Linked DNA regions of Oryzias latipes. The protein of the gene in region 3 purifies or fractionates together with the protein of the main gene of each other region. This does not show direct contact. Links are inferred from orthologs where the notes say so. Each region holds a gene or a part of one and is shown on either strand. Other genes may lie near its edges.

Region 1 (10,334 bases), on a different chromosome or scaffold from region 3:
TTGAGTATTAATGTCATGCTGGCTCCTAAAAGAAGACAGGAATGGAGGTTTCATAGAAGGCTGATGTGGTAGACTAAGCTAAAATAAGACGAACATGTATGATTTCTTTCACACCTGTTGACCACCCCGATGATGCCAAGCCTTACAGGTATGACTCTCCCCAGGAGGACCTCCAGCGCATCAGTTCCAGCATCCATCAGGTCCAGTTTACTGACCACCAACAGCGTTCGACGACCTGAAGAACCCAAAATCTACGGATCAGACCTGCAAGTTCTCAGCATGAACGAGGACTTTCAAAGTGACTGTCAGGAGCATTTGGACTGGAGAGAAATATCTCAACCAAAAACACACGGAGACAGTCCTGAACATTATGTAATTTAAAATTTAGATTTGTTATGCAAGAAGCACATTTTAACAAAAATCCTCAGAGAGAGAAAAAGGGATTGTATTCAAAATGTCTTACCATCTGGATCAACCTCACGTGCCAATTTCAGAGCATCAGAGGTGGCCAAGTCAGAATTGGCAGGGGATACTGCGAGGATAAGAGAGTTTGGATTGGAGATGAAGGATAAGATCATCTCTTGCACTTGAGCCTCAATGTTTTCTGGCTGGTCTCCAACAGGAACCTAAAGCAAAAACAAGAGGCATTCAACATTAAACCCAGGCAGATGTTTGGATGAAATGAACATGGATTGCAGATACAGATGTTTGCACAAATCAAAAAGTAAAGATAAAAAAAAAAATTGCATTTTTGTCAGATTACTGAGTTCACCTTGATAATTCCAGGTAAATCAACCAGAGTGAGATTCAGAACTTTGGGGGAGAATATCTTCAAATATATGGGCTCACAAGTGATTCCCTGGAAAACAAGAAAGAAAAGAAAACATGATTATTATGTAAAACCAAAATATTGCAGGTCAGTAAGGTTATACAAAAGCCTTTTTCTCACTTTGTTGTCCCCCGAAGTGCGCTCTGTCTCTGCTTCGATTTCTTTACGAATTTCCAGAAAATCTGTGAAGATCTGTTAAGAAAGGCACACCCATCAAACATCAGAAAGCTTGCAAAACAAAGGAAGCAGAAGCATAACAAGAATAAAAATGATGAACATACCTGGTTCTTACAATGCAGAAATGTGCCCCATTCTTCAGCTTTGACACCTGAATAGAAAATAAGAGCATAAAAGTGTCAGGGATGAAGAATTAAAGTATAAAAGAATGGAATATGAATTTAAAAAAAAGGATTTGGCAAAAACATAATGAAAATAAACTGAATTAACTAAATGAGTGAGACGGTTAATGGTAAACATGAAGAAGTAGAAACTTTTTCTCATGCAGATCAAATATAGTGACCTGTGTAGCTGTTTTGAATATTTTGTTTAAGCCCATTTCCTAAAAAGTAGTAAAGAAAAAGAGGAAGAAAATGTGTTAGTTCAGAAAAACCCTGTATCAAAACCAAGTGACAGAGAGAAGTGCATAGAAAGATTTCAACATAACTCAATGCTGTGAGAGAATTATAAGCCTAAGTGTTTTACATCGAATTGAGTTATCATTGAGTCATAATCTGTTTACCATGCTCATTCTTCAGCCTTTCCTGTTGTGGAGCAACATTGACGAGCTGCAACACAAGGGGTCGTCTTGTGACTATTCCAGATCCCCGAGGCAAAAAATCCCTTCCGACCAGGCTCTCTAGCACTGAGCTTTTTCCACTGCTCTGTTATAAAAACAACGACAGCACATGAGTAATAACAGGACATCATCTATTTTTAATTTAAAAAGAACTTTTTAACTAGAACCCTGAACTGGGTGAAACCATACTTTAGTATACATCTACTCTGGATGATTATCCAATAATCAAGACAAGATAAGTGTACAAACACAACATTGTTTTCACTCAGTTTTCCAATTCTGGTTTCCATCCACTGACCTGAGTCCCAACCACGACTATCTGAGGCAGCTGTATGATCTCTGTCCCGACCGTCTGAAAGACCTCTTGCAGCCGGTTGATGGTGGGAATCAAAGTTTCCATCTTTCCAGTCGTCTCTCCTACTGTTGGTGAACACATGAGGGATGTGAACAGAAACATCAAGACACTCAACAACGAGAAACAAGGCTGTTTGCTTCATGGATGCAACCATCTCTAACATGTTTAATTGATAACCTTAGGCTTAGCTCTAAGGAACAGGATCTTCAGTTTTCCTCCTCTGTGGCGCGTTGCTATCCTACTAAGGCTTTTCTCCAGGGAGAAGTGGTCCTGATGATCATGATGAGAGGACTCAACGCCTCAACTCGACCAACATCGGATACAATGTACTACTTACTAGCTTGAAGGGATTTGAAATTTAAAATTAACTATTGATTGCCGGTAGCAAAGGTGACAGCACGTACATTTTAGACATTTGTTATCGACAAAGTCCGAGGTAATAAATGTTATCTGCTAACGCTCGCTGGATGAATGCAGGAAGTACAGTATGTGCTGCTAGCTTCATGCTAACATTAGCTTACTGGCCATAAATAAATAAATAAACCCGATATTACATTCTTACCTTTTCAGTGTTTACGAATATATCCACCCCTATCCGACTATTCTATGTTTCATACTTTAAATTATGCTAAATATGTTTAAAATACACCATTTTATAGGAGCTGGTTTACAAGTAACCAGAACATAAAGCACAGACCAAATGCTTGGAAAGAGGGGCGGAGCGTTGGTGGCAACCCACCTGATTGGTCAAAAAACATAGATCACGTGTCTTGCTATTGCTTCATTGGCTCCCTTAATTGTTCTCGCCCAGCGGTAAAATAAAATGTCCCGCCTTGCGACATTCTCTTCAGTCTTCCTTCTCCTTGTTTCCAAACCGGCAATATTTACACAAAACACAACTATTTCTCACAATACAACGTAAAAAAAACAAAAAAACGTAGTAATTTCTTGATCTTTTATTGTCGTCATATATAAACAATATTTACAAATCGCACAATGGCCATCTGAACAATAAAAGATGTGTGTATTCTTTTATCCCACGTTTAAATGAAAAAAATAAAATAAAAACAGGCATCATTCAACGCTGACATGAATAATAAATAGTCTCAAGTGGAAGTTAGTGTTGCCTGGAATTGCAGCAGCCAGAAATCAAGCAACATTAGCACGAAACAATGTTTTTGTGTTTTGATTTTACACAAAAAAAACTAGTCTTTCAACAAATGGTGTCAATATTAAAAATAGAAGAGAAAACACACATGAGAAAGCCCTATTGCTGAGATAAACATTAGTCACTGACACAAGTCAGCAATATCAATAATCACTGATTAGGCACACATTGTATTCTCAATGGCCTCACATTTATTTTCCCAAACATGTAGTTTCTCCTAAATCTATTCATACAAAGTAGATTTAGGTTTTCCAATGCTAGTCCATGTAGGAGGTGTCCATGCTCTCGCTGTCAGGGTGAAGCAATCGCACTGCTAGTCGTTCAATGTCATCCAGGCTGAGCTGTCGAAGTGAACGTTCATAGTCCTAAAAACAAACAAAAACAAAGTTTAGTAATAACAAAGAGGAGCTTAACTGTCAAGCTCACAACATGACAAATTATTTTAAATAGTTAAAATAGACATTCGTTTTGTAATATAATTTATATAGTGGGTTTGAAAGGCAGTAACAGAACTTTAACCATTACAACTTTTGGGAAACCATGAATAAAAACTTATCTTACCTTTATAAGCTGTTCATGAACTTTTGCTGCATCTGCTGGACTGAAGTGTCTAGCAAGTATAGTGGACACAGTCTGCCACAGTCCTCCCATGTTCCTGCTGCTGCAGCCAGTCACTGCTGAGGCTGCAGATCTTTCTCCTGCAGGACGGATTACTAGGTTCAATTTAGCCTCTGGTCCAATGGAATAATCACTAAGTCTGTGTTCATCTGAAAGAAAAAAGGGCATACAGAAAGATAAATTATGAACCTGACAAAAGTATAAAGGAAAGAAAAAAAAGTAGTAGGCAAATTTTACCTGCCAGTGCCTTTCCTTTGTAAAGCAGCCGCTGCTGGTTTGCTGGTATGTTGAGTTGCTCAGAAACAAGTTCCTTCACTGTGGAAACCTTTTCATCTTCTGTCACCTGTGGGATAAAAACAAATTCTTAAACTGTAATTTAAACAAGAACAATAGAGTCAACTGGTATAGAAAGACTGCGGGGAAAACAAGTTCTAAGGATGCAATAATAAAAAAAATGAATACATAAAAACAGTATTAAACGGGCAAAATAAATAATTCATTTTATGTAATAAAGTAACAAAGTACCTATTGTGAAAACGTTTTATCAGCTCAAGACAAAAACATTTGTTACAATAATTCAAAACAATTACAAATATATTGTTTATTCAAAGCCTTCGTATTTTTTTCGAAATGTGCCGAAAACTCACTGTCTTGTCTGGGATAAAATTCTCGGCTTAAAATCTAATTCAATAGATGTCTTAAATGGCTTTGTATGACCAATTTTAAGTGCACATGTTTGACTTAATCTGAAGAACAGCCATATATAATGTATAATGTGTAATTACCGCTACACTTTAAAGTTGGCATTAAAGAAAAAAAACATGATCATAAGTACTACGGTACTCAAAATAAGAACAACACAAAACCAAAAAAATGTTTTGGTTAAAAAAAATTATAAATAGAATATATAACTACATAATTAAAAAAGTTAATGAAGTGCTGTGGAGTTTTAAAATGATTACTTTATGTAAATGAAAAATATATACAATTCTAAATTTGTGATAAGAGAAGCAGGTTCATAATGCTGCTTTCATGCAACTGTATGTCTTAACTGATTTGACACAAAGGCACATCCAGGAGCAGCAAATATAACTGCTGAACTGTAAAATAATACCAACACCGTTTTTTGTTTCAACGCGCTGACCAAACAAAGTCCTCTAATACACCGCGGTTCCTTACTCACTTCTCTTTACTGCATTAGCACCAAGTAAGGAGTAACAACAACTTCCACTCAGCTGCTGGGCGTGACCTCAGCGAGAATGATTCAGACAGAAAGAGTTCTTCGTCTTGCATTTCTAAATTAGCTAACATGCTAGCTGCGGTAAAGCTGCTTTAGAACTATAAACGGGTGTGTATATGTACAACCGCATCTTTAGTACTGGTTAGTGTTAGAGTTACAGTCACTAATAAATTAAATTTATGTTCACTTTATTCAAAGCACTTTAAAAAACTTATGATGCTGAGCGGCTAACAGATATACCCGGCTAGCTGATTGTGCAAATTAGCATTATGGAGTTCGATTTTTTAACTAACCTGAACACTGCACTCCTTCCCTTGAAGTGGCTTTACTGTAAGAATCATTTTTCAACACTCTCACTAAAAACAAAAACACACAATAATGTGATTAAAGTCCAGCCAAAAGGGTTACTAAGTTTGCTCGTTATAGCCACACTGGCTGTGGTCCCGTCAGCGTCCCATCTTCTTCTCCTGTTTCCTCTCAACGATGCCACTGCCTCTGTTGCTGACATCAAGTAATGCTGCTGCCGCCTACTGGCATGAAGGATGTACCGCAGCTAAGAAGAAATGACACCACGATTAAAGTTCAATTAAAAGTTTATCGGAACTAAAGTGGTTAGGCGATGATATCCAAATTGATCTCCTAAGCAGGATACTGTGCCAATACACCTGTACACACATGGGTGTTTTTTTTCCTTTGACAGACAAAAAACATGGTGATAAACTTTTGTCATTACATTACATTTGAATAGTAACGTGTTTGTCAATTTGAAAAGAAAATTGGATCCGACTCACCTGTAGATTACTGTTACAATTTACCCATAATTACCTGACCACCTTCTATTGCTTATGTTCAATACACAAAAAGATTTTCACAAAAAATGCGTTTACAGCATTGACATTTTTTTAATGTCCAAAGTCGGGCAGATGCTCGTTCTTTTTTCTTTCCGAAAGCAAAATTTAGTGTCAAATTTTCCCATTAGAACTACTTTCCTCTGACCCAGTTCGGATCCAGCCTGTGCATGTGTCATTCTGTTCCCCCTCCTCGTGGTTGGAGGGAGCCCGCGTCACGTGACCGCCTGTCTGCGCTGTGGGCATTCCTCCTGACCAGCATCCTTCACTTGAGGACGCCAGGCGGACTGCTCACCTACACCGGTGAGTAGCATTTGTGTACCATCCATCAATTAGGTGTTGAAAAAACAATGGATCTGTGGCTGAGTGTAATTAAATTTAAGATGATAAAGACAATTTATCTTTGTTATTGTTTTTTTCTCTTTTGACAATTTTTATATAGCCTACATAAAACCTTGCAGCTTCACATAAAACGTACATAATAAAAAAAAGTATAATTTGTTTACTCTGAAAATGTATTCTTTTTAGTGGGATAAACTTATGATGCACTTGACAATGAATTGTTTTTGCCTTTAACCTGGATGGAAATGTGTGCTACAATTGCAAGGCAGCATTTTGACATAGATAGATATGCATAATATTTTTCATATTTAAGTTTGTGAAATAAAAAATTACAATTTCTTTTTTATTCTCATAGCAACGAGCTGTTTATCTTTGTGCTTTCCTGGCTGATGCCTGCAGATCATGGGTACACTGAGGGACCTCCAGTTTGCTCTGCAACTAAAAATCGAGGAGCTCCGCCAGAGAGACACACTCATAGATGAGTTGGAGCTTGAACTGGATACAAAGGATGAACTCATTCGAAGGCTACAGGAAGAACTGGACCGTTACAGGACCACTGTTTGCCTCTCAGGACCCTCACCCAGTGCAGGTAAAGAGTAGGTCAATCATTTAAAAGTACAGGTTGTAGACGTGACCTAAAAATCTCAATTATTTTTTATAGCTCCTCAAATTGAGGGCATGGAGCGAGCTAAAAAGCACACAGTCATTTCAGAACCCTTCAGCCCGGACCCCGTGACTCTCGCCAGGATTTCACACAAAAGCTGTGACAAAAGTCAACAGTAAGAGCACACTGTGTTCCTCCAACTTCAGCTAAGAAGGCCAACTTTTCAAATTTTTTAGCATCACTCAATGGTCAAGCATTTTGAGTCAGCATTTGTGGCTTGTGGCGCGGCATTTAAGGTGATTGACAGCTACACTCGGAGTGTTGCATCTTTATCATCCCTGTGTGTCATCAGATCTCAAAGCCTGATCCAGGCAGGGCTTTTGAAAAACGACCTGTTGAAGAACTTAGACGAAGGAGAAATGAGAGCTGTCACATCCTGCACATATCGCTGCTCCATCAATCAAAACTGCACTCTCATACAGGAGGGGAGCGCTGGGGAGCAGGCTTTTATTTTAGAAGGTAAATTGCTGCCATCTGTCATCCTTAAGATTATTTATTAGAGGTTTCTTGTGAGGAAAGTGGCTAAAATAATTTGTTTTCACCAACAACTGCTTTTTAAAACTCATTTTGCAGCTTGTTTTTTTTTTTTTTTGCATTTGATGACAGCTTTATGGTTTAAAGCACACAAATAGCTCCCGCTTAAAGACGGGGAACATGAACAAGAATACCAGGAGAAAAGAGGTCATGAACTGAACGTAGATTTCATCAGAGAGGAAGCTGCCTCCTGCTTTCAGTCTTGTCACTTGAACCATCTTTTGTGCATGAAGTGCGCATCAAGCTGACAGTTACTTTTATCCGACATGGATTCTATACTATCAATGTGCTCCTTTTTCCTACTAAGTGTGTGATGTTGACAGAAGGAAGATTGAGCGTGACTCAAGACGGGTGCAAGCTGCTGACAATTGAACCAGGGGATACGATTGGCGAGCTGGCACTCCTCTACAACTGCACTTTCCCCTTTTCTGTCTCTGGTAAGTTGTGGGATGATAGGATAAGATGCCTCAAAGTGGAAGCATGCTCTTTGAATAATTCTTCAATCTAAAATCAACAAGGACAGCTTTTGGCTTAAGTCATTTTGACCGTAAAACATATTTTGATTTGAATAACCCAGCACTTCTCTTCCCTGCAGTTCTGGATTTAGCGACACATTTCAACCCATTTTGTCGACCTTTTTAAAGATTTGTGATATTTTCATGACATAGTAAGTGTCACATCCTTTCTTCATATCTAATCTTGAAGCTCTATGGGGGAAACTCTGTCGTTACCCCAAGCCTCTGACCTGGTTTCACAAATAAATGCAGAATCTCATCCCATCAACCCATTTTCTGATCTATTTTGGCGTCACAGGGCTGCCGGAGCCCATCCCAGTCACTGTTGGGCAAAGGTTGGATATACCTTGATGGTTTTTGCGGTCCATTGCAGTGACACACACATATTCACACCTTGGGACAATTTAGAGTCATCAATTGACTTAAGATGCATATTTGTGGACACTGGGAGGAAGCCAGAGTGTCTGGAAAAACCCACACATGCACTGGGAGAACAGGCAAACTCCACACGGAAAAGATCCTGCTGGGATTTGAAGCAGGACCTTCTCACTCACTATGAGGTGATAAGATCAATTTGTGGGAAAAAAGAATTTCAATCACTATCTATGAGTTCAATTATCTTAATTGACTTTATGAACCAGATTCCTGCTTCTGTGAATATCCAGGCTGCCGAGTGTCTGCTTTCAGTCTGCTCTTCATCTCATGTAATTCTTTTGTTCGTCTGAATGATGATACTGTGCAGATGGCAGCATGTAATCAGGAAGAAAAATGATGAGAATAGGGAGAAAAATTGTGCTTCAAGACAAACAATTTGGTGAAGCTGTAAAGTGGAAGCTCACGGTTAATATCGGAACATTAAAATTGAAACGTTTTGAGTCGCACCGTTTATTAGCTGCTGGATCCACTCTGACTGTCTCGACGATAACATCTTTTATTTGCAGGAAGCTTTTGTGAAGCAATCAATATCAGCACTTACTCTTTTACACCATCGTCAAACGCTGAATATAGAGTATTTATTGCTAAAGGATTCGATTTATGTCTTGTGAAACGACAGCTATTAACTCTGATTTACCCGCTTGCTTTTTAGGTCTCAGCTGATATTTAATTGTGAATCTCAAACCACTGCAGGCGGCATGTACTGTCTCTCCTCAGCAGCTTCTCCACTTTACTTCAGGTGTCGCTGACAACAACCTTCACATTTTTCTCTGCTTTTGTCTCAGCACAATCGGACTGTAAGCTGTGGACTATTGACCGCAAGAGCTTTCAGACTGTGCTGATGCACTGCAGTCTCAGCCGCCTTTCTCATTCAGTGGAGCTGCTCAGAAGGTGAGTGTCAACCAGAGAAATCGAACAAAGCAGCCTCAGACGATGAGTTTTAATTCACGGAACACCTCAAGGGTTTTATTTTTTTGTCGAACATCTATATTAAATGAAAACGATTTTGTTCCCAATAACTGTGAAAGGAATAACATGTCCACAATGTCAAGTTTGACTTTTTTGAACATTTTCTATTTCTTCTTTGTGCGTTTGCAGCCTTCCCCTCCTGCAGTCATTGCCAGAGGATGTCATCATGAAGATTTCTGAGCTCATGAAAGAGGTGAGCTCCTCAGATGTGTGTTACTTTTAACAGAACCTGCATGTCCAGACATGAAGTCCATTTACAATTTGAACTTTCTGCATTGCTTTGACTGCAAATATTCAAATGCGTGCCGTGTTCTGCTTCCTCTTGTCTCCTGTGATTTTTTTGTCTTCTCACAGACATATTATGCAGATGGTGAATATATTATTCACCAAGGATCTGTGCAAGTCAACCTTTATGTCATCAGCAAAGGACAGGTAAAGTTGCACTTCCTCTGTCATACGTTTGATTCAAACCTAAATGGAGAATAGCAAAAATCTGATGAGAAGGTACTTTGTAGTAAAATACTCTTTCTCTTTTTTCTATTGAAACCTGACAGGTGACTCTGACAGAAATGAGGGCGGGGCATGAGGAGCACACAGTCTTGTCTGAGCTCTCTGAGAAGCAGTGGTTTGGAGAAAAAGCGCTCTCGAGGTCAGATGGAAGAGTCTCAGAGGATGTCCTGGAATATTTTATTGTAAAATCTAATTTATTTCTGGTTTTCTGACAAAGTTTTTTGACTCTATTCCTTCAGAGAAGACTCTTGGACTGTGAGTGCACTTGCTGTTGGTGCTGTGACATGCTTGGTAATAGACAGAGAGTAAGCAAATATTTTATTTATCTATATATATATTTTAAATATATATATATATATATATTTTATTTATATATATATATACATATATATATATATATATATATATATATATATATATATATATATATATATATATATATATATATATATATATATATATATATATATATATATATATATATATATATATATATATATATATATATATA
Region 2 (10,598 bases), on a different chromosome or scaffold from region 3:
GATGTTCTGGTCGGTGGGCTCTCTGCCGCTGAGGTAGTTCTCGGTGAAGAACTGCGACAGCATGGGCTGGATGCGGCTCAGCGGCTGGTGCTGTCCGTGGAGCAGCATCACCAGGTCCGACATGGTGAAGAGCTGACACACCAGCATCAGCAGCTCCCCGAAGAAACCTGACATCCACAACAAAGAGGAGAGATGAGTCCTCCTGCGGGTGCAGAATGCGCTGAGGCTTGCCGACTAAACGCACCTGTGGGCTCTTCGGTGCTGATGAAGATGTTGGTGGCCTGGGACAGCCTCTGCATGAACTGAGCGATGCTCTCAGAGTCGTTCTGCGTTTGGCCCAGAGAGCCCATCAGCGTGCTCAGGACGCCACGGACGATGCCGGTGAACAGCTCCGGGTTGATGGACTCGGACGCGCCTGCAGCCGGGTTGGGAGCAGAGGTGGCCCCTGCAGCGGGGGCTGCGGGGGTTCCAGAGGGGGGCGTGGGGAAGATCGGCTGGAGGGCCACAGAAATACAGACGATCTCAGCCGGGAAGAATCACCTTCATCGTTTCTGTGCTGTTTTCACGCCGCAAACACCCACCTGCTGCATGAACTCACTCATGCCTTGGAGGAAGGCGGGGACTCCGGACGTGGTCACGGTTATGGAGGGGGCTCCGCCACTGGCACCGCCTAAGAGCGAGCTCATGAGCTGACTGATGTCGGGGGGGATTTCCTGCGGCTGGGGCTCGCTGCCGCCGGCCTCCCCTTGGTCCTGGGTGGGTGGGGCGTTTGCAGATGGAGGCATTGGACCCGAGGTGGAGAAGGAGAAGGAGGAGGAAGTCTGAGAGGAAGAGGAGGATGTGGACGCAGTGGAAGAGGTGACCGTTTGACCGGCTGGAAAAAGCAGAAGTTCCTCTTTAACCATTTAGAAAAGACAACGGTCTTTTAATTCTTCTGGTTACGAGTGAGGTCATTACCCATCTGCCCCGGCAGCAGCATCTGTCCCACCAGCCCGGTGATCATCTGGTTAAATGCCACCGGATTGAAAGCCTGCGAGGAAAAGGCCGTCAGTTTCCTGCATGAATCAGAAAGAGTCCAAACAGTCGGCGCCCCACCTGCCCCTGCTGCTGGCCCGGCATGGCCGCCCTCACGTTGATGGTGGTTCCACGGGTCCCGAAGGCCGGGGGGGCAATGTTGGTGGTGAAAGAAGGTCGGGTGAACACCACCCTGGCTTGAGGCTGCGGGCTGGCGTGGGACGGTGGAGGGGGAGCGGTTGGGGTGGTAGTGGGGGTGTTGGGACCCGTTGTAGCAGCTGAGGAGCTGGGAGTGGAGCTCTGACCAGGAGGGGTGGGCTGGGGGGCGGCCGGCTGTCCAGTAGCAGCAGCGGTGGCGGCGCTGGTGGCGACAGCCGCCGCGTACTGACTGATCTGCTGCATGAGGTTCCGCATGAAGTCCGGGGGCAGACCACCTGAACGGGGGCAGAGGGGACAAGGTCAGAAGAATATGATCCAGAGACGGAAACGAAGCCACAGCCGACCCTCACCTGGCTGTGCCGGGATCGGCTGTCCCCCCGCTGCAGGGCTGGGGCTGGGACCTGCGATCACAAACACAAACACGTCGGTCATTTCCGGAGCGTCATGGATGTTGCAGCCGAAGACTTCAGCGGCAGCTGCTGAAACCCAGAACTGCTGCGATGAAAACTCAATCAGCGCGTCTGGGACAACACACCGTCCGCGTTCATCTGCATCATGACCACCGGGACTGCCTGGTGGCTGATCCTGATGACCCGGGGGCCAGCCTGTCCCTGTCCCTGTCCCGGCGGCTGATTGGACGGGGAAGTCTGTGCGGGGGGGGTCTGTCCCTGACCTGCCTGCTCCGCTTGGCCGGACGGTTGTGTGGGCGGAGCCTGTCCCTCAGTGCTGTTGGCCGCAACAGTCACTGTGGCCCCCAGGTTCATCTGTGAGTGAAGCGCAGAGAGGTCAGTGGAAGTGTGCGAGCGGGGGCACCGACCTGAAAACTGACGACTGTGACGTACTTGTACTGGGACATGGTGATGCACGGCGCTGGGCAGAGTGACCGGGCTGGCGTAGTGGGAAAAGGGCCGCACCACATGCAAATGTCGGGGGATCGGGCTCAAGAGGTTCAGTCGAAGATCACTGAGGGCAACCAGGGCATTGCCAAGGAGCCGGAGACCTTCGCACATCTGGATGAGGGTCCTCTGGTCGTCCTCCCGCTCCTGCACGGAGAACAACATAAAAATGTAATATTTAGTCACGCCAACACAAACATTACAGCGACAGAGCGCCTCGTGATGCAGGGGTGCTGCATTACTGTGTCATTGTTGTACTCGGCCGCCGCCGCCGTCTCCAAGATGCCGTGCGCTCTCTGGATGAAAGGCTGCAGCCTCTCCTCGACTCTCCGCAGCTCTGACAACATCTCTGCCAGCTCAGCGGGGCTGGGGTGACTGCAGGGGTGGGGGGGCAACGACAGCAAACAAATAAAACAGATATAAAAATAATTTATCTACTGTAGACTAGATTAAAGCTGGGTTAGAAGTACATTTAGTTAGTTAAGTTAAGAAACTTTTAATATAAAAAAAACCCGGAGGATATGTCATAAGGTTGGATTTTTATTTTAATAATTATATTTTTTAATTATAAAAATGTATCATTTATTAAGGAAAGAATCTCCTTTGTTTAGTTGATATCTGTCATGTAACAAATGTTTTCATAACTACACAAAAAACGACTTTAAATGAAATTTGAAAAATAGATTGATATTTGACCAAATAGAAACATAAATTTGAATTATTTCAATATTTTGGTGGAACCTCTAATGTTTAGTCTAGAGGTGTGGGGATAAGAAAACTTATCAGCTTCTCAAATCAATAAATCGTTGGTTTTATGAGCTGATCACTTGTTTAAACAGACGGCCTTCAAATATCATCAAACTAAATAAAATTCTCGTGAATCTTTTGAATTCAATCTCTCACTTGGGTCCTGGCTGTGGAGTGGGTCCCTCAGACTGAGCAGAGAAGGTGGGTGGAGTTGTTGGAGGAGGTGAGGTGTCCATGGGCTGAGTGGAGGGAGAAGGGGTGGAGCTTGTGGAGGAAGAAGAGGGAGGAGGCGGAGCAGCAGCAGAGGCCGTCTCTGATTGGGAGGTTTGGGAATCGCTCTGTCGACCCTAAAAACGACAAATGTCAGTGAATGGCGGTTGGGAGATAAAGACTCCTGTGGCGCAGTGGCTCGCCTCCATCCTGCTGATGACATCGTTGAGGTCTCGCAGCAGATTCTCGGCCAGAACCAGCCTCAGCCTGGGTTCGCTCTGCACCGGCTGGTCCATGTCGATGTGAACGTTTACAGACCCGTTGCTCTGAGAGCAGTCACAACAGGAAAGAAAAGGTTTTTGTTTCAAATCCTGTTTTTTGACGAGCTTTTAAAGAATAGAAGGGAGCTTCTATTACTTACTCCAGTACTGGCTGTGACTCGAGCATTTCTTGCATTATCTCCCATTCCAGAGACCATCTGCTGAACAGACATCTAGGAGACACAAGAATCACACAGCTTTAATGTACAGTTAGTGTCTTTATTATATAAGTATTATATACTTTATCATATCATTGAGTAATTTTCGGCTTAAACCACAGTCTTCAAGCAATCACAAAGTGGACTAAGAGTCATAATTGCAATTGTTATTATTTATTATTTTACTTTCTCCCTCTTTGAGACCTAATTAGACCCCTAATATGCATGAAAATCCGCAAAACTGATTCAAAAATTTGTCATAAAAAGTAAACGATTTGTTCTCTTCCAACAAAAAAAACTAAGTAAAATTGGGCCAGTAAAACCTTTTTTTTATATATATATATCCCCTAAGAAAGAGCCATCCAGTAAAAATCATTAAATTTCTTTATGCTCCATCTTCACTGATGTCATGGACCATGGAATGTAGAGGAGCGGGTGGGGTTTTACTGTGGCACCATTTTCAGATGGGGCTGCAGAGTTAGAGGATGAGCATCACGCCTTAATCCTGTTCTGTTGCAGCACAGGCCGAGGAGAAGCTGCTGGGGGCAGCAGACAGACCTGGGGGGCTGTTGATGGGCCCATGGTGCAGGGTGGCAATGGTCATTCAACAGTCGTTGCAGCTTTAAATGTATTTGTTTTTAGGATAATTTAGCAAACCCATCAAGATGACATGAACAGAGTTCATATGCCGGAGTCTCTAAAGTCCATCTTTGTCCATTTTCCCTTTAACATCTCCACACAATATGATCGGACATAGTGGAAAATGCTGAGATGAAAACAATGCAGAGATCACACAGAACAATTCACTTGTGCTCTGCGTGATAAACCGACTACATCTAGATGGTTTTAAAATCTGAAATCAATCCCTGTGGTTTTATTTTCACTTTGAACGAACCCATCTGACTTTCATGTCATTTTGATCCAGAAGACTTGGTCCTTTTAAGAAAAATTTCCTGCAGGTTTGTGATCAAAGGTTGTTAACAAAAGCAGACAGCCTCATGGCAGATTGAAGGCAGCCGTTTAGAAAAGTAATGTTTCAACTTGACTGAACTCAGATCTTCATGCCGAAACACAGAGTTTAGTTGCCCTGAGCAACTGGAATCTCGTCATCTGTTGAGCAGTGCTGCCTTCATCCCTGACAACGCACACCAACAATGCAGACCTACCTGTATCTGCTGGGGGTCCATGATATTGACGGGGAGGTTGAAGGTTCCAAGCATGACATAGCTGTTGGCATTGCGATCGTGTGGAGGCACCTGCGATGCTCCCTGGGAGGATGAAGACTGCCCGCTGTCGGCTGCGGTGGCCCCTGACCCCGAGCCAGGCTGGGAGGGTGGAGGGGGGGCCCGCTCCACAAGGTGAATCACCTTTCCAGCCACATCTACAAGAGTAGCGGAGAATATGGTCAGCTAAAACAGAAGCAGTGGCAAATCAGCAGAAAGAGCAGATGGAACCAAAAACTAATTCAATGACAGAATTTTTACTTAAAAGAAATAGTTTTGAAATGCTCCTTGGTGGTGTGATTGAAAGGAGGCAGAAGGGATGTTCAGATGGAGAGACTCCCTGAAGCAACAAGCTGAAAGGTTAAGAGGAGGAAGATTTAATATATCCTTTGACTAACTGTAGTCTGCCAGCGTCCTTTCATCCTGCAGTACTCTGCCCTGGTAGATGAGCCTCTGTTTGTCCACAGGGATGCCCACTGAAGGAGAAATGTGCTCTTTGAACTCTTTAACTGTCAGCTGCAAAACAATGGATCATTTCAGTCAGATCATAAAAGACAAAAGGAAACTACCCAAATATTTACAGCAGGAACTTTCCATTTACCTGAGCACCGACTGAGTAGGTTCTGCTCTGAGAGTCCAGAGTTTTGACCGTCACTTCTATGTCTGAGGTTTGTTCATCCATAGCGTTCCTGCAATTGTATTACATCTTCAATTACAAATTATTCTGTTTATGTGACTTTTTAAAGTGTTTGTACACTTTTACAAAAATTTTGATAAGCACCAGGTTATTTAACAATCTGTTCAACAAGCATGGTGCGTCCACGGCATGTTTATAAGTTTATGAAGAACAGTGAGCGTAGTTTCCAATTTTTCAGCAATCATCTAGATCACCTCTTCTTTTTAACAAACAGGCAACGTTGAAGTGAATTTATTAACCAGCCTTTAGTCTAGAAAATAAAATCTCTAACTAAGGAATCCGGATAACTACAATCAGCTGAATTATTTAGCTCTAATTTAAAATACATTATTAACTGAGCTATTTCCTAAACAAGAATTTTAATAAACATACAATTAACGTAAAATAGCATCTATATCTTTATGTTAGACTCAGTGGGTTAAATTTGATTTAATGCTTTGTTTTTTTCCCAAAGACGGACTCCCTGTACTAGCGTTAGCCAAAAACAGTTAGCCCGGCTGTATTCGCTAAACAAGGACAGGAGCGATGTAATATTAAACTAAGATTTAGGACAGACAGTATAACAAAAGATAGAAAGTAACATATCGCCACTTGCTCTTCAGCAGGATTACTTTTTTTAGGAACCAAATAAACGCCGACTGGCTAATTAGCCAAACAGATTAGCTAAAGATGCTAACTGATCTGTCGTGTCGCTACTAATGCTTAAGCGCAGAACATTCCGTTTTTTATGCGTCACACCGTCAAACGCTTACCTTTTAAATCATACAATGTTTTTTAACGTATCCAGAGTCCACAGGAGGCTCTTATATTCAGAAAGCCGAGCACTTCTCCGGTGCGTCGCGGCTATGCTACAGCTAACAGCTTTTAGGGCTGAACGGATGTGACGTCAGAAAGCCGCCGGACTGCTGTCGAGGTCAAAGAAGCAAAGATGGCGAATGTGCTAGAGGCGACGAGCCGACAACAGTTCGAGGATTTCCTTGCAAAAGCTGGAAAAAACCTCGCGGTTGTACATTTCCAGGCGGCATGGGCTCCTCAGTGCGGCGACATGAACGAAGTGATGGCCGAGCTGGCCAAGGCACACGCGCACGCGACGTTTGTGAAGCTGGAGGCGGAGGCTGTTCCCGATGTGTCGGAAAAGTATGACATATCCTCCGTCCCCACTTTTATCTTCTTCAAGGGGGGTGAGAAGGTGGATCGTCTGGACGGGGCGCACGCTGCGGAGCTGACTAAGAAGGTCCAGGGCCTGGCGGGTAGCGGGCCCGCCCCAGGAGGAGCCGCGGACGGCGGCGCCGCGGACTTGAACCAGCGGCTGAAGAAGCTGATCAACGCGGCGCCCTGCGTGCTGTTCATGAAGGGCTCCCCGCAGGAGCCCCGCTGCGGCTTCAGCCGCCAGATGGTGGCGCTGCTCAAGGAGCACAGCGTCCAGTTCAGCACCTTTGACATCCTGTCAGACGAAGAGGTCCGTCAGGGCCTGAAGGCGTACTCCAACTGGCCCACCTACCCCCAGCTGTACGTGAACGGAGAGCTGCTGGGGGGGCTGGACATCGTGAAGGAGCTGGCCGAGTCCGGGGAGCTGGAGACCACCTGCCCAAAGGCCGTGACCCTGGAGCACCGCCTGAAGGCCATCATCAACCAGAGCCCCGTCATGCTGTTCATGAAGGGCAACAAGGAGGCGGCGCGCTGTGGCTTCAGCAGGCAGATCCTGGAGGTCCTGAACTCCACGGGGGTGGACTTTGACACCTTTGACATCCTGTCGGACGAAGAGGTCCGTCAGGGCCTGAAGGCGTACTCCAACTGGCCCACCTATCCCCAGCTCTACGTGAAAGGGGAGCTGATCGGGGGCCTGGACATAGTGAAGGAGCTGAAGGAGAGTGGGGAGCTGGAGTCGGTACTGAGGGGGGAGTCGTAGATGGACGGGGAACAGGACATCACTGCACAGGCCTGCACCAGCTGCTGCACCCCTCAGAGGTCCCAGGAGGTCAAAGAAGCTGCTCGTCGGCTTTGATCGTGGGAAACGTTCTTCTTTTTTCACAGACTTTCAGATGACGTGAAGCTGCTGACTCTCCATCCTCATCTTTATGACAAGAACACCACCAGAGAAGCTGAAAATCTACTCATGTTCACTGCAAATTCCAGCCTATAATAAATTTCCCATCAAAATAGAACAAAACGTTTCTATTTGTTTTATTTTTTGCCTGTAAAGAGGTGAACTGGCTGTAGTAAACTGAGTTTACTTTGAAATGAGAAAAAAGTTTGAACAGAGCTCATGCACTAAAGCTCACACTCAATAAAATTGTTAAAAGCAGCAGCATGTCACGTTTGTAATACATGTGGTATAGTAAGCACGTGTGACAGGTTTTCTGGCGCCACCTTGTGGGCGTAAATGTAAAAGCACCAACAGTATCAGGGTTCTGGAACCTTTCACATTAAAAGAACCCAGCAAGAGCCATGAAGTCCAACTTCACTGTTATAAAAAAAAACACTTTATGTTTTTGTGATCATTTATTAATTCATTTATAAAATGTAGCTTTGAAATATTTACAATTGCATTCTAAAATGTATTGTTTTATACACGTAATAAAATTGAATCTATTTTACTTTAGACGGCAGCACATACAAGTTCCTTTCAAAATAAAACACCCTGTGTGAAAAAGCTCCGATTTACTTGAATTTAAAATACATGTCAATCATGACATTTTCTGTCATGACTTTGGGGTGCCTTCGTCCTTTTTCTCATTTCTCATTTTGATAACTAATAGAAACGTGACAGCATTGGTGTAGAATCCTTTTTAAAAAATCTATAAATGTACATGTACCTATGCACTTGAGTACCTTTGCCTCTAAACAGCAAAAAAAAAACGCTGCTACCTTATTCTACCAAATCTTTCTGACAGTAAATGAAATAGCTTACCATCATTTTTGATCAATCGTCTAATATATTAAAAATCCAACCTGAAATGTCAAACTTAATTAACCGTAATTAATAGTAAAGCCAAAGAATGCAGGGATAAAAGTAGCATGTAGTTCTGGAGCCTCAGGTTTCAGACCTCTGGTCTGTTCACTGAGTTTTTTTGTAAAATGATATCACCAGGAGTTAATATTGCATTTCTATTATTTCAAATCGAGTTTTAATACCTAAACTTACTTTTAGTATAAAATGCAAAAAAAGGAGATACTCATTAAGATTGTTTAAACATTTCCTAGTAATCTAAAGGAAAGATGAAGCCAGATTTAAAGGTTTTGTTAAAATTTTACAACGTTTAGAAGATGGATTATGTAAACACTAGGCTTCAAATGTTTAAAGATGGGTATATAGTAGAGTCTTGTTAAATATAGAGCTACCTTAAAGTCCCACTCCAATCTTTTTTTTTTTCAATCCATCGTAAAAGTGTTCCTGGTCTTTTAATTATGATTATGCCGAGCAATAATGGAGCTGTCCAGCCGTAGAGTTTAGATCCAGATTCTGCTCAGGGGTGGAAAATAAAGATGGATCTATTTGTCTGACAGTGGATGAATCAGAAAGGAATGGAGCAGGCAGCTAGTGGCCTGCCTAGGGTATTTTCTACATCACAAATACAATCTTTTTCAAATAGCATTTTTCTTCTGCTCCTATTTCCAAAAGAAATACTCAGAAATGCAATTTTGATCTGAATTTGCGTCAGATATGTCCTTCATCATCAAAATGTGCCACAAGAACACTTTCAAAAATCCAAAAACTATTTTTTTAACTCGAGTAGGCATTTAAAAAGATTTAGCTTAGATCTGATTCTGGCTAAAAACTGCATGATAACGATGAAGATGAATATGTTGAGGTTCTTTTAGGGAGTGAGGACATCAGAGGGACAGCATGTTAGAGGATTTGGAGATAAAGTCAGAGAGGCCAGACTGAGACGGTTCGGACATGTGCAGAGGAGAGACATTGAATTTATTGGTAGACGGATGCTGAGTCTAGAGCTGCCAGGCAAGATAAAGACCAAAGATGAGAATTATGGATGAACGAGGACATCGCTGGTGTTAGAGGAGAGGATGCAGAAGACAGGGTTTCGATGGAGGAAGATGATTGACCCCTGAGGGGAAAAGCAGAAAGGAAGAGAAAAGGAAGAATAGCTTAGAACTGAGATGTCAGCCTCAAAATACTTGAAGAAAGACAAAAGGAATAATAATATGATTTAGGTGTTAGAATGTGACACTTTGACCAGTTAATAAACACCTGTCTCTTGTTAGTGGAGTTTTAAAATGAGAAATGCCTGCAGAAGTTCTCTCAGCGTGTCCACTATTTATTGAAACATTTTTTAATGATCAGTTATCATTTAGTCTCTGAGCTCTTCCTTCTGAGGCATTGCTTTTCCACACCCTGATAGTGATTTCTGGTGAAGACAGTGCAGAGTAACAGTGAGAACACGCAGGATTGCTCCGCTTCCCTGACACTATAATCAATGGCTCGACCTTGACGAAGATGCGACCTCCTACATAAGGCTGACTCACACAGTGGAAACAAGGTGGGCTTTCTCCTTTCAGAGGATTTTGGCCGAGGAGCGAGTCTCTATGTTAACGTGCGTTTCACTTCAGCGTTTATCTAAAATGCTTATGGGGTGTGTGTGTGTGTTTTTTAGAAATGTCACGGCTGAGGAACACACGTTAATCATTGACTTAACACCCACACTCTGTTTGAGTTGCACGCTGAGATGATTTTCAGTTCAATCTGGTTTGATTCAAACTGCAGACATGTTCAACGAAGCCTGGTCGGGTTTTCTGTATTTATGTTCTCTGGCCTATCAGGCCTTGGTCCCCTGCACACTTCCTCAACTGTTGATGGTGAAGACCATCAACCATCAGCAGGTGAGAAATGAACAGATCATTTGGTTCTTCAAAGACAGATCCATGAGCTGGGCTGCAGCACAGAAGCTCTTTCCACTCCCCCGTCTTTTTCCACATGGGGTCTTTATTGTACGGCCCGCTGTGGGTTTATGAAAGCAGCATCGGTTTTTAAGCATCCGCTCTTCCCTCACTGTCACTGTTTCTGTTTCTATTTCAGTATCTGGGAAAGTGGTATTTCAAGGCAGCTGTCAGTCACCGGGAGGCCGACATCCAGAAGTTCAGAGTTTTTGACAGCATGGTTTTCACCATCGAGGAGGCGGCTAATGATACGCTGGTCTTGACCGGAAATATGCGCA
Region 3 (8,900 bases):
CGTTGGAGGAACGCAGACACGCTGCCGAGGCCGGCTCTAGGATGACGTCATGAGATGGGCGGTGCCCACAAAGAGAGAGGGGCGGAGCCTTAGAGATTGGAAAAGTCTTACTTCTGGGTAGAAAAATGAGAAAAATAACTCGTATTTCATAAAAACAATTGTTCTTTAGTGTGCCAAAGGTCGTCCAGTGATCAGAAGGGTTGGCGGTTGGATCCCGCGCCCCTGTCCGTCTGCCCCAGGTGATGGTAGCTACTGATGCAGCCACAGCTGCATCAGTAGCTACCATCACCAAGTATGAATGAATTTAGCGTGACACAGGCCCTTTTAAGTTGTGTGTTTTGTGTTAATTCAGTTTTGTATCGCAGCATGAGATTGTGTTTAGCTCCTCTGTTTGTGGATTTTCTCCAGCATGACTCCAGAATCATGAGGGTGTTTTCTTTCCACATGCGCTCAGTGTCATGAGCTTCGCCCGAAGGCGGTAACTGAAGCAGCCCTCGTGGGTTTTTTCCCCTCCCCCTGCCGATGCAGGAGATTGACCCCAGCCTGGGCGTGGCGGAGCTGCCCGACGAGTTCTTCGAGGAGGACAACATGCTCAGCATGGGCAAGAAGATGATGCAGGAGGCCATGAGCGCGTTTCCCGGGATCGACGAGGCCATGAGCTACGCAGAGGTCATGAGGTAAACGGAGCGGCGGGACCGCCGTCGGCGCTCGCTGCACGTCCCTGTGAGGAGTAACTGAGCGTGCTTGTGTGCCTGAACGTAAGGTTAGTGAAAGGAATGAACTTCTCGGTGGTGGTCTTCGACACCGCCCCCACCGGCCACACGCTGCGCCTGCTCAACTTCCCCACCATCGTGGAGCGAGGTCTGGGCCGCCTCATGCAGATCAAGAACCAGATCAGCCCCTTCATTTCTCAGGTGAGGCGGCGGCGGCGCCACTGGAGGACGTTCTCCAGCTGAAGCTGTCGACCTTTTTGATTCCCTCTTCCAGATGTGCAACATGCTGGGTCTGGGTGACATGAACGCAGACCAGCTGGCGTCCAAGCTGGAGGAAACGCTGCCGGTCATCCGCTCCGTCAGCGAGCAGTTCAAAGACCCCGTAAGTGACGTTCAGCAGGACTTCACCTTCCAGTTTCACTAGTCGAGTTACTAAAGAATAAACACACAAAATAGAAGCTCTAAAGGCCCGTACACACCGGGACGAATATTCGCCAGGCGTTATTCGCCAGCGTTTTTCGCCACGTCTTTTGTGTTCACACCCAGGCGATTTTCGCTGACGATGAGCTGAACGAACATGCAATTTCATTCCCTGACATTAGATGGCGCTTAATGTAAACAGAAATACTCCTGTACACAAGGTGGCGCTGCACAACTTTACGCTTCTTAAAGTTGCTTTTCACTCAGAAGAAGAGAGCAAGTATTTACGCGCTTGTCAGAATAATACAAAGAAAACATGAATATTTCAAGCACCAGTAGCTCCAACTGGTGCTTGGTTCGGGGATATTTTAGAATGTCCGTCATTATTTCTTCGCGGCAGTGTAGACGCTACTTGGCGTCTATCTTCTTCGCTGGTATGTGTGCTCAGAAAGGCAGTTTTGTGTTTGAGCGCCCCCAAGTTGTGTTTTACTGTAACTTCAGAAGCTCCAGACACGTGTGCAAAAGCGCCATTCTCATTGGTCGAATAGATTTCGACGCGGCGCATCAAACCAAAAAAACGAACCCGAGGCGTTTTTAAAAAAAGTGACGCTTTGACGCGTGGCGTTTTTTCGCGTCGGTGTGCACACTCACATTGATGCCCTTTAGGGTTGTGCCGATGGACGATATCATCGTCCATCGTGATGGGTGACTGACATCCCGATGGAGAGACCACCATCGTGATGCCACGCCCCCGCCACGTTGCGCGTCGACACCATAAGCCGCGGTTACATGTACAAAATATCTTGATGGGATCAATGGTCGGATTAGAATCCAACCGTGTAGATGGGCCCAGAAATTTTTTTCCAGAATATAAAAACGTTCACTAAGGTCACAATTTCGGTCGGAATAAATCATTCGCACATGCGCAGTATTCGCACATGCGCAGTTTGAAAACCGGAAGAGGATACAACTTCCGCCGAGCGGCTTTTTTTCCAAACTTTATTGAATGTAACAATTCAATACAAAACGATAACAGCGCCGAGCGGCTATATACATTGACATGTCAGCTCGGTAAAATACGAGATGATCTTCTAAACTTGCTTTTAATAATGTTACGGTTATTATCAAACACCTGTTCGCTCATCATTTGAATTTTAATCCGTGTGGTCAGTGCTTTTTCTGAACGTAGCCAGGATTAGCAGTATGCTAACACGGGCTAACAACATTAGCTTTGGGTGGCGCTGCATGCTGTGAATAACAGCATGCAGCCTTTATTTAGTCGGGACACGACTGGAAACACAAATCCACGTGATTGTTTGAATGTTTTCTAAGGACTGAGCGACATTTCTGCTTTGAAGCTCAAACCGCTGTGTCTGCTGACGATCCGAGCTGTGCTCAGACACACGTTTAGACCCGGTTCTGAGTTCGGTTGCTTGTACCCCTAGAGCTGCGGGACGGATCGCAGTCTTAAATCTCCCACACATACCGCTCATGTACCCCCCCCCCCCCCCCCTTCCCATCAAACACAAAGCTGTAAATCCGCCCTCCACCGGTCCACTTCGCTAGTTAAGTGCGGGAGCGGATTACTTCTTTTCTATTTTGTTTGTTACTTTTTCTGTTAAAGTCACTTCCCTCAGTTTATACTGGATCATCGCGGATTAACCATTAGTTGGGAAATAAAATGATAAAAGCAAAATAACGAATAGCAGTTATATAAGAACGAAAAATGTAAACACCCCCCCCCCCCCCCCCCCCCCCCCCCCCCCCCGACGATGTCATCGTCTATCCCGATGGTTGACAGCAAACACCGTCAACAGCCAAATTAGGGGACATCGCCCAACCCTAGTGCCCTTTGTTTAGTCACGAGGCGTTAAACGTCGGCGAAAAACGCCGGCAAAATTCGTCCCGGTGTGAACGGGCCTTTAATGTGGAGAAACAATTCTCAGATGAATACAATAGCAGACGTAACCCGTGCATCATTTCCTTACATTAACCCCCCCCCCCCAAACATACTGAACATAGAATAGGTCAGTTCAAAGGCAATCATTTTAGTTTAATGTTAGTCATTTCCACTCCGGAAACTTCAAAGTTTAAAAACAAACAGCAACCATCCCGTAAAGCGATCGCTGTGCTTTGGTATGACGGAGCTTAGATCTCGGCAGCGTTAAATCCCAGGTCTCTGGCGCGGCAAACCATCCTGCGAGGAGAACACAGAGCACGCCTAACGCCGTGGGCGTGGCGTCTCCTCCGTGGATCCGCACCGGGTCGGGTTTTGCTTTTGCGGTCAAAGCGACCAGCGTCCGAAAATGTCGGAGGGCTCACTCCAAGCAAGTCCCCCTGTGGGGGGCCTCCGTCACCACCCCCTTATTTAGTCTTTTAATGAAGTCCCCCCATTGTTTAGCTTTTTTCTTTTAAAGAGTAATGTACATGGTGTTCTGTTGTTGGGGTTTGGTTCTGACGACCAGGCGGTCGTCAGAACCAAACCCCAACAACAGAACTCGACTCTGGTGTTCCGTCGTTGGAGTTTGGTTCTGACGACCGCCTGGTCGTCAGAACCAAATTTTATAACGGCTGTGACCAGAGTCGAGTTCTGTTGTTGGGGTTTGGTTCTGACGACCAGGTCTGGTTCTGACGAATGTCTCCCTGCTCTCTTCAGGAACAGACCACCTTCATCTGCGTGTGCATCGCCGAGTTCCTCTCCCTCTACGAGACGGAGCGGCTCATCCAGGAGCTGGCCAAGTGTCGCATCGACACGCACAACATCATCGTGAACCAGCTGGTGTTCCCCGACGCCGAGAAGCCCTGCAAGATGTGTGAAGCGCGCCACAAAATTCAGTCCAAGTACTTGGATCAGGTACGAAGCGTCCCGGCGTCTGCCGTGAAACGGCGTGAGGTGGGATCCGCGCGCTCATTTCTGCCCCGTGTTCTTCCTCACAGATGGAGGACCTTTATGAGGATTTCCACATAGTCAAGTTGCCTCTTCTGCCCCACGAAGTGCGAGGAGCTGACAAAGTTAACACCTTCTCCAAGCAACTTCTGGAACCCTACAAGCCTCCAAACAAGTGATCCTCCCCGCAGACGCCTCCTCCACCCTGACGCCTCCTTCCAGCCGCCCTCAGATCCTCACGAAGCCTCAGCGCAATCCGCTCCGTCCCCCCCCCGCAGGGAGGGGACCCCACCCGCAGCACTGCGACGGCGCCGCCCATCCCGTCCTCCGGTCTTCATCGGTCTCGGTGTGTTTCCACATCTGATCAACAAGCCCCGCCCCCTCTGCTGTGCACTTGTTGGTGATTCCAGTGAACGTGTTTTTTTATTTCCAAATAAAACTGTTTTTTGACCTCTCCATATTCTGAGCAGACGCGTCTGCGCAGATCAGAAAGCAGGTCTCTCCGGCCGCCGTGGCAGCAGACGTGTCCCCGCCTCTCTGCGCTCGTGGCGTTAAAGCCGGCGCTCACCAGTGACATTTGGAATGAAGCTAAACGGCGGGCGTCTTACCCATACGGGGATGGTTTCCACTCAACATCCCTGCATTGATTGTCCTTCAGCAAAGTGCTCAGCCACGGGACCGTGACACCTGAGAACACAGAAATGTGCAGGTAGAACGCAGGTCAACTCCTCCTCTGAAACTCCCCTCTTCGTCAACGAAGGCTTCTGAGTCGGCGAGAATCTTTTTCTATAGGTTTTCTTTAAGTGAAACTGGCAGTGAGAATTAAACGCAGTTGCCTCAACTGGCAGTCTCCTGTTTATTCCTTAAGCCAGTGGTGGGGGGGGCTGGAGACTGACCCGCATGCAGATTGTCTCTGATGGAGCATGAAGCCCGTCAACCTGCACCAACACCCCCCGCTGAGAAAAGGGGATTCCTTCGCCGTCGTCCTGCCTGAAGCCGTCAGAGGAAGGACTGAAGGGTTCATTTACTTCACCCCAGTGTTGTCAGGTAAACCGTTACAGCCAGTGGGAAATCCACCGGTGGGTAGGAGGGGGGGTTGCAGCTCCATGCAATCATAATCTACCTTAAAGTATTAATGTACAGTAGCATTTCATTGACAGAAGTAAGTATTTGATCCCCTGGTAACCATTCAGAGTCCTGGGTCACACAGACCCGTTAGACTCTCCTTATCAACCGTCTGTCCCCTGTTTGAACTGATCACCTGTAGAAAAGACACCTGTCCACAGAATCAGTCCATCAGACTAGAGAGCTTTCAGTGGATTTAAAGGAGAAGATTGTAGACCTGCACCAGACCAGACTGGACTACAAAGAAGCAGGAGGTTACCATGACAACCGTTGGTGCAGCATCACCATCAATCCTCCTGTAGGTCTGCGGCTCCAAACCAGATCTGACCTGGTGGGGTTTCTGTGATCATGAGAACAGAGAAATCAGGAGTTAGTTGAGGATCTCATTGGTGATGCTTTACATCTAACATCTAGCAGAGCTCACAAGTCCCCCCCGCTCTAGAAGACACATGTGGAGACCCGCCTGATGTGTGAAGGATTTAGACAGAGATTGGGAGAAGGAGCTGTGGTCAGATGAGACCAACATGGAGCTCTTTGGCATCAACTCAAGCCGTCGTGTTTGGAGGAGGAGAAATGCTGCCGATGACCCCAAGAACGCCGTCCTCACTGTCAAGCATGGAGGTGGAAGCATTATGGTTTGGGGTAGGTGTTTTCTGCACAGGGCTACTTTCTCTGTGAGGATTGGCGGAGCCATGTACCGTCCAATCCTGAGTGAGAACGTCCTTCCCTCCACCAGGAGGATTAAATGGGGAGGTGGGGGGGGGGGGGGTGGATGGGTCCCCCAACAGGATCATGACCCAAGACATACAAGACGAAAAAGAAGAGTCAGATCAGGGTCATGGAGCGGTCCAGCTGGTCTCTGGACCTCAGCCTATAGACAGAGCTGAAGCTCAGGGTTGCTAAGCAACAGCCACCAAATCTGAATGATTTAGAAATCATCTGTGAAGAAGAGTGGAGCAGAATTCCTCCTGATCTGTGCAGAAACCTGATCATCAACTACCAGTAACCTCTGACCTGCTGCTGCTGCTGATGATGATGATGAGGGTTTGCTGCCAGGAAGGATCAAATACTTTTTTGTTCCTTAATGAAATGCAAATAAATGTTTGCATTCCTAAAAGTGGATTTTTTTTAATTTTCTAACTAGGTGTTCAAATGAACTGTTGGGATTTTTAAAAGAAAGAAAGGAAATCCTAGAAAAGGACTAGTTGGGATGTGATGGTGTCTCTTTAGGGTGTCAGTAAAAACCCGCTGAAGTCTGAATTTCCACAGCCGAGTGCAGACTGTTTTGAGTCTTTTCACATCCATGATTCATCTAAGGTCCAGAACTGGGTTCTGCAGGTGAGTACACTTATATGTCGCGTGTGGGAGGTCGTCAGTGATGGACGCTGCAACATCCACCTGTACGTGCGCTCAATGGTCTCTCGTTAGCAAACAAGAAACGTACGTAACTTGCTGAGAACGTTGTTACAGCTCGTCACCATGGCTTTAGATCAAAGCTCCCTCTCCCTCCTCATTTCATGTGCATCAGCCGAGGGAAGTCCCGTTTCGATGATAGGCCTTTACAACAGGGATGGCGGACTGTCAAGTTCTTTTTAAGTGGGCAAAATCAGCAACAAACACTTATTTCCTTAACTGTAAAAACCATTGGGAGAAAAGTCTTTAGTCTGTCCTGAAGGGTTTGGATGGTTAAAGTCAGCGACCTCTGTGTCTGAAGGAATGACTTCATATACCCTCTGGAAAACACAGAGGTGGAGGTGTGATGGTTTGGGCACACAACTTCTGCTCTTGACCGAACCCGAATTCATTCCCTACCCCTCTGGCTTCTCCCTACCCCTACATTAATCCCTCCAAGCAGAAAACTTTGAAAAGATAGTGTCTTCAAATCCGGACGCGATGACAAAAGAAAAACGCTGAGCTACGTTGGCGCGAAGCTACCAGCGTTTGGAAAATACAAACAAAAAGTCATTACTTTTATTTAAATGTAAACTTCTGTGCTTCAGAGCACACCCACCGGAAGAAATGTTTCTCCTGCGGAATCACACCGGCGGAGGGATATCCAGCTCTAAGGCGCTACAGCTCCCCCTTACAAAGAAAAAAACAAGTTTGCTGCTTTAAATAAATTTGGTTTTGGTCAATTCTTCTGGAATGCTGTTCAAACTTTATATGTCAATAGTAATAGTTCTATAAAACTCGCCAGCGGAACTTCTCCTAGATTCTTCTTGAAACGTGGGGTAAGGCAGGGATGCCCCTTGTCAGTGTATCTGTTTCTTCTTTCTGTTCAACTCCTCAACCTACATATCAAACTCAGCCCATTAAAAGGTTTAATTGTGGCTGAGAGGGAAATATTCATAAGTCAACTAGCAGATGACACTGCTCTCTTTCTCCGAGACGCTTCACAAGTAGCTGTGGCGATTAATATTATCCAATCCTTTTCTAAAGCTTCAGGACTTACCCTTAATTTAAATAAATGTGAAATTCTGCCTGTTAAAAACTGTTTACTTACATCTATCCAAGGTATTCCTGTAAAAACATCTGTTACGTACCTTGGTATTCAAATCACTAAAGATATGCAATCCAGATGTTCTACAAATTTCTCTCCAATAATAGATAAAACCAAAAAAAACCTAAACCAATGGCTGCAAAGAGATTTGTCTTTGAAAGGCAGAGTTCTGCTTACAAAAGCAGAAGGAATCTCTCGTTTGACGTATGCAGCTCAATCTCTACAGGTTAATAACACAGTCTGCAATACAATTAATAGAATATTATATAACTTTCTATGGAGAAATAAAACTCACTATATTAGAAAATCTGTTATTTTAAATACCTCCGATAAAGGCGGTTTAAATTGTATTGATTTTACTGTCCTTAACAATACACTAAAGGTAATCTGGATTAAGAAATATCTTAATAACCCCACATCTATCTGGAACTTTATTCCACATTTTGTATTCTCAAAGGTAGGAGGCCTGAACTTCCTGCTATGCTGTAATTATAGTATTCCAAAAATCCCTTTGAAACTGTCAAATTTTCATCAACAGGTTCTCTTAGCCTGGGCTCTGATCTACAAACACAACTTTTCTCCACAGAGTTGTATTATAGTTGGAATAACTGTAATATTGTCTATAAAAGGAAAACTCTGTTTTTAAATAATTGGTTTAATAATGGTATAATTTTCCTCAATCAATTATTCAAAGAACCTGGATTATTATATAACTACTCAGATTTCACAAAGCAGTATAAAGTACCAATAACTCCCAAAGAATTGGCAGTAGTGTTTGATGCCGTCCCATCTGGGCTTTGCATGTTATTCAGGGGTTTCTACAGCGCTCATCCTCTGACTCTTCATCCTCCTGAGGTGCTCAAATCTCCTCTGGGGAGTTTCTGCTTCACTTCCGCTAAACAGTTGAACTCAAAAATCAGAGCTTTGTTCCAAGATAATTTAGTTTCTGTTCCATCAGCTATCTATTATTGGGCTAATTTCACTTCTAACATTGATTGGAAAAAAGTCTGGTCTTTACCACAAAAATACTTCTTAACAAATAAAGTCAAAGAAATCTCTTTTAAACTCCTACACAGATTTTATCCAGCAAAGCATTACTTAACTAAATTTAAGGCTGACATAAACACCAATTGTACTTTCTGCCAGAAACAACCTGAAACCTGCTCTCATTTATTCTGGTCTTGTGAATTTACATACAGATTTTGGAAAAACATTCACAAATTTATCACCGATTCTATTTTTGCTGACATACAAC

The links.
Region 1: the proteins of asna1 (region 3) and ubl4a purify together in Homo sapiens (affinity purification with mass spectrometry; 4 studies listed by BioGRID and IntAct, with this or other methods). This does not show direct contact. The link is inferred for Oryzias latipes from reciprocal best matches to the Homo sapiens genes GET3 and UBL4A.
Region 2: the proteins of asna1 (region 3) and bag6 purify together in Homo sapiens (co-immunoprecipitation; 5 studies listed by BioGRID and IntAct, with this or other methods). This does not show direct contact. The link is inferred for Oryzias latipes from reciprocal best matches to the Homo sapiens genes GET3 and BAG6.

The regions. Positions count from the first base shown.
Region 1 is NC_019867.2:16,991,589-17,001,922, reverse strand, and holds ubl4a (ubiquitin-like protein 4A), read right to left. Parts: upstream 5,496-10,334; 5' UTR 5,348-5,495; coding exon 5,300-5,347; intron 4,110-5,299; coding exon 4,004-4,109; intron 3,916-4,003; coding exon 3,710-3,915; intron 3,514-3,709; coding exon 3,406-3,513; 3' UTR 2,922-3,405; downstream 1-2,921. Other genes in the region: dynamin-1-like protein, read right to left, coding at 1-25, 115-235, 464-626, 773-859, 950-1,021, 1,111-1,157, 1,350-1,388, 1,569-1,710 and 1 more; cGMP-dependent protein kinase 1-like, read left to right, coding at 6,599-6,785, 6,858-6,975, 7,153-7,319, 7,718-7,831, 9,130-9,235, 9,443-9,506, 9,668-9,745, 9,868-9,962 and 1 more. UniProt on the Homo sapiens protein: As part of a cytosolic protein quality control complex, the BAG6/BAT3 complex, maintains misfolded and hydrophobic patches-containing proteins in a soluble state and participates in their proper delivery to the endoplasmic reticulum or alternatively can promote their sorting to the proteasome where they undergo degradation.
Region 2 is NC_019874.2:28,117,033-28,127,630, reverse strand, and holds the start of bag6 (large proline-rich protein BAG6), read right to left. Parts: upstream 6,302-10,598; 5' UTR 6,177-6,301; intron 5,419-6,176; exon of another isoform or gene 5,417-5,418; 5' UTR 5,410-5,416; coding exon 5,329-5,409; intron 5,244-5,328; coding exon 5,126-5,243; intron 4,886-5,125; coding exon 4,671-4,885; intron 3,520-4,670; coding exon 3,448-3,519; intron 3,353-3,447; coding exon 3,230-3,352; intron 3,164-3,229; coding exon 2,973-3,163; intron 2,445-2,972; coding exon 2,312-2,444; intron 2,217-2,311; coding exon 2,016-2,216; intron 1,938-2,015; coding exon 1,709-1,937; intron 1,575-1,708; coding exon 1,524-1,574; intron 1,449-1,523; coding exon 1,096-1,448; intron 1,031-1,095; coding exon 958-1,030; intron 875-957; coding exon 582-874; intron 495-581; coding exon 245-494; intron 168-244; coding exon 1-167. Other genes in the region: glrx3 (glutaredoxin-3), read left to right, coding at 6,353-7,333; uncharacterized protein LOC101169638, read left to right, coding at 10,150-10,263, 10,460-10,598. UniProt on the Homo sapiens protein: ATP-independent molecular chaperone preventing the aggregation of misfolded and hydrophobic patches-containing proteins.
Region 3 is NC_019859.2:35,303,124-35,312,023, forward strand, and holds the end of asna1 (ATPase ASNA1), read left to right. Parts: intron 1-528; coding exon 529-677; intron 678-763; coding exon 764-914; intron 915-987; coding exon 988-1,095; intron 1,096-3,789; coding exon 3,790-3,987; intron 3,988-4,070; coding exon 4,071-4,199; 3' UTR 4,200-4,861; downstream 4,862-8,900.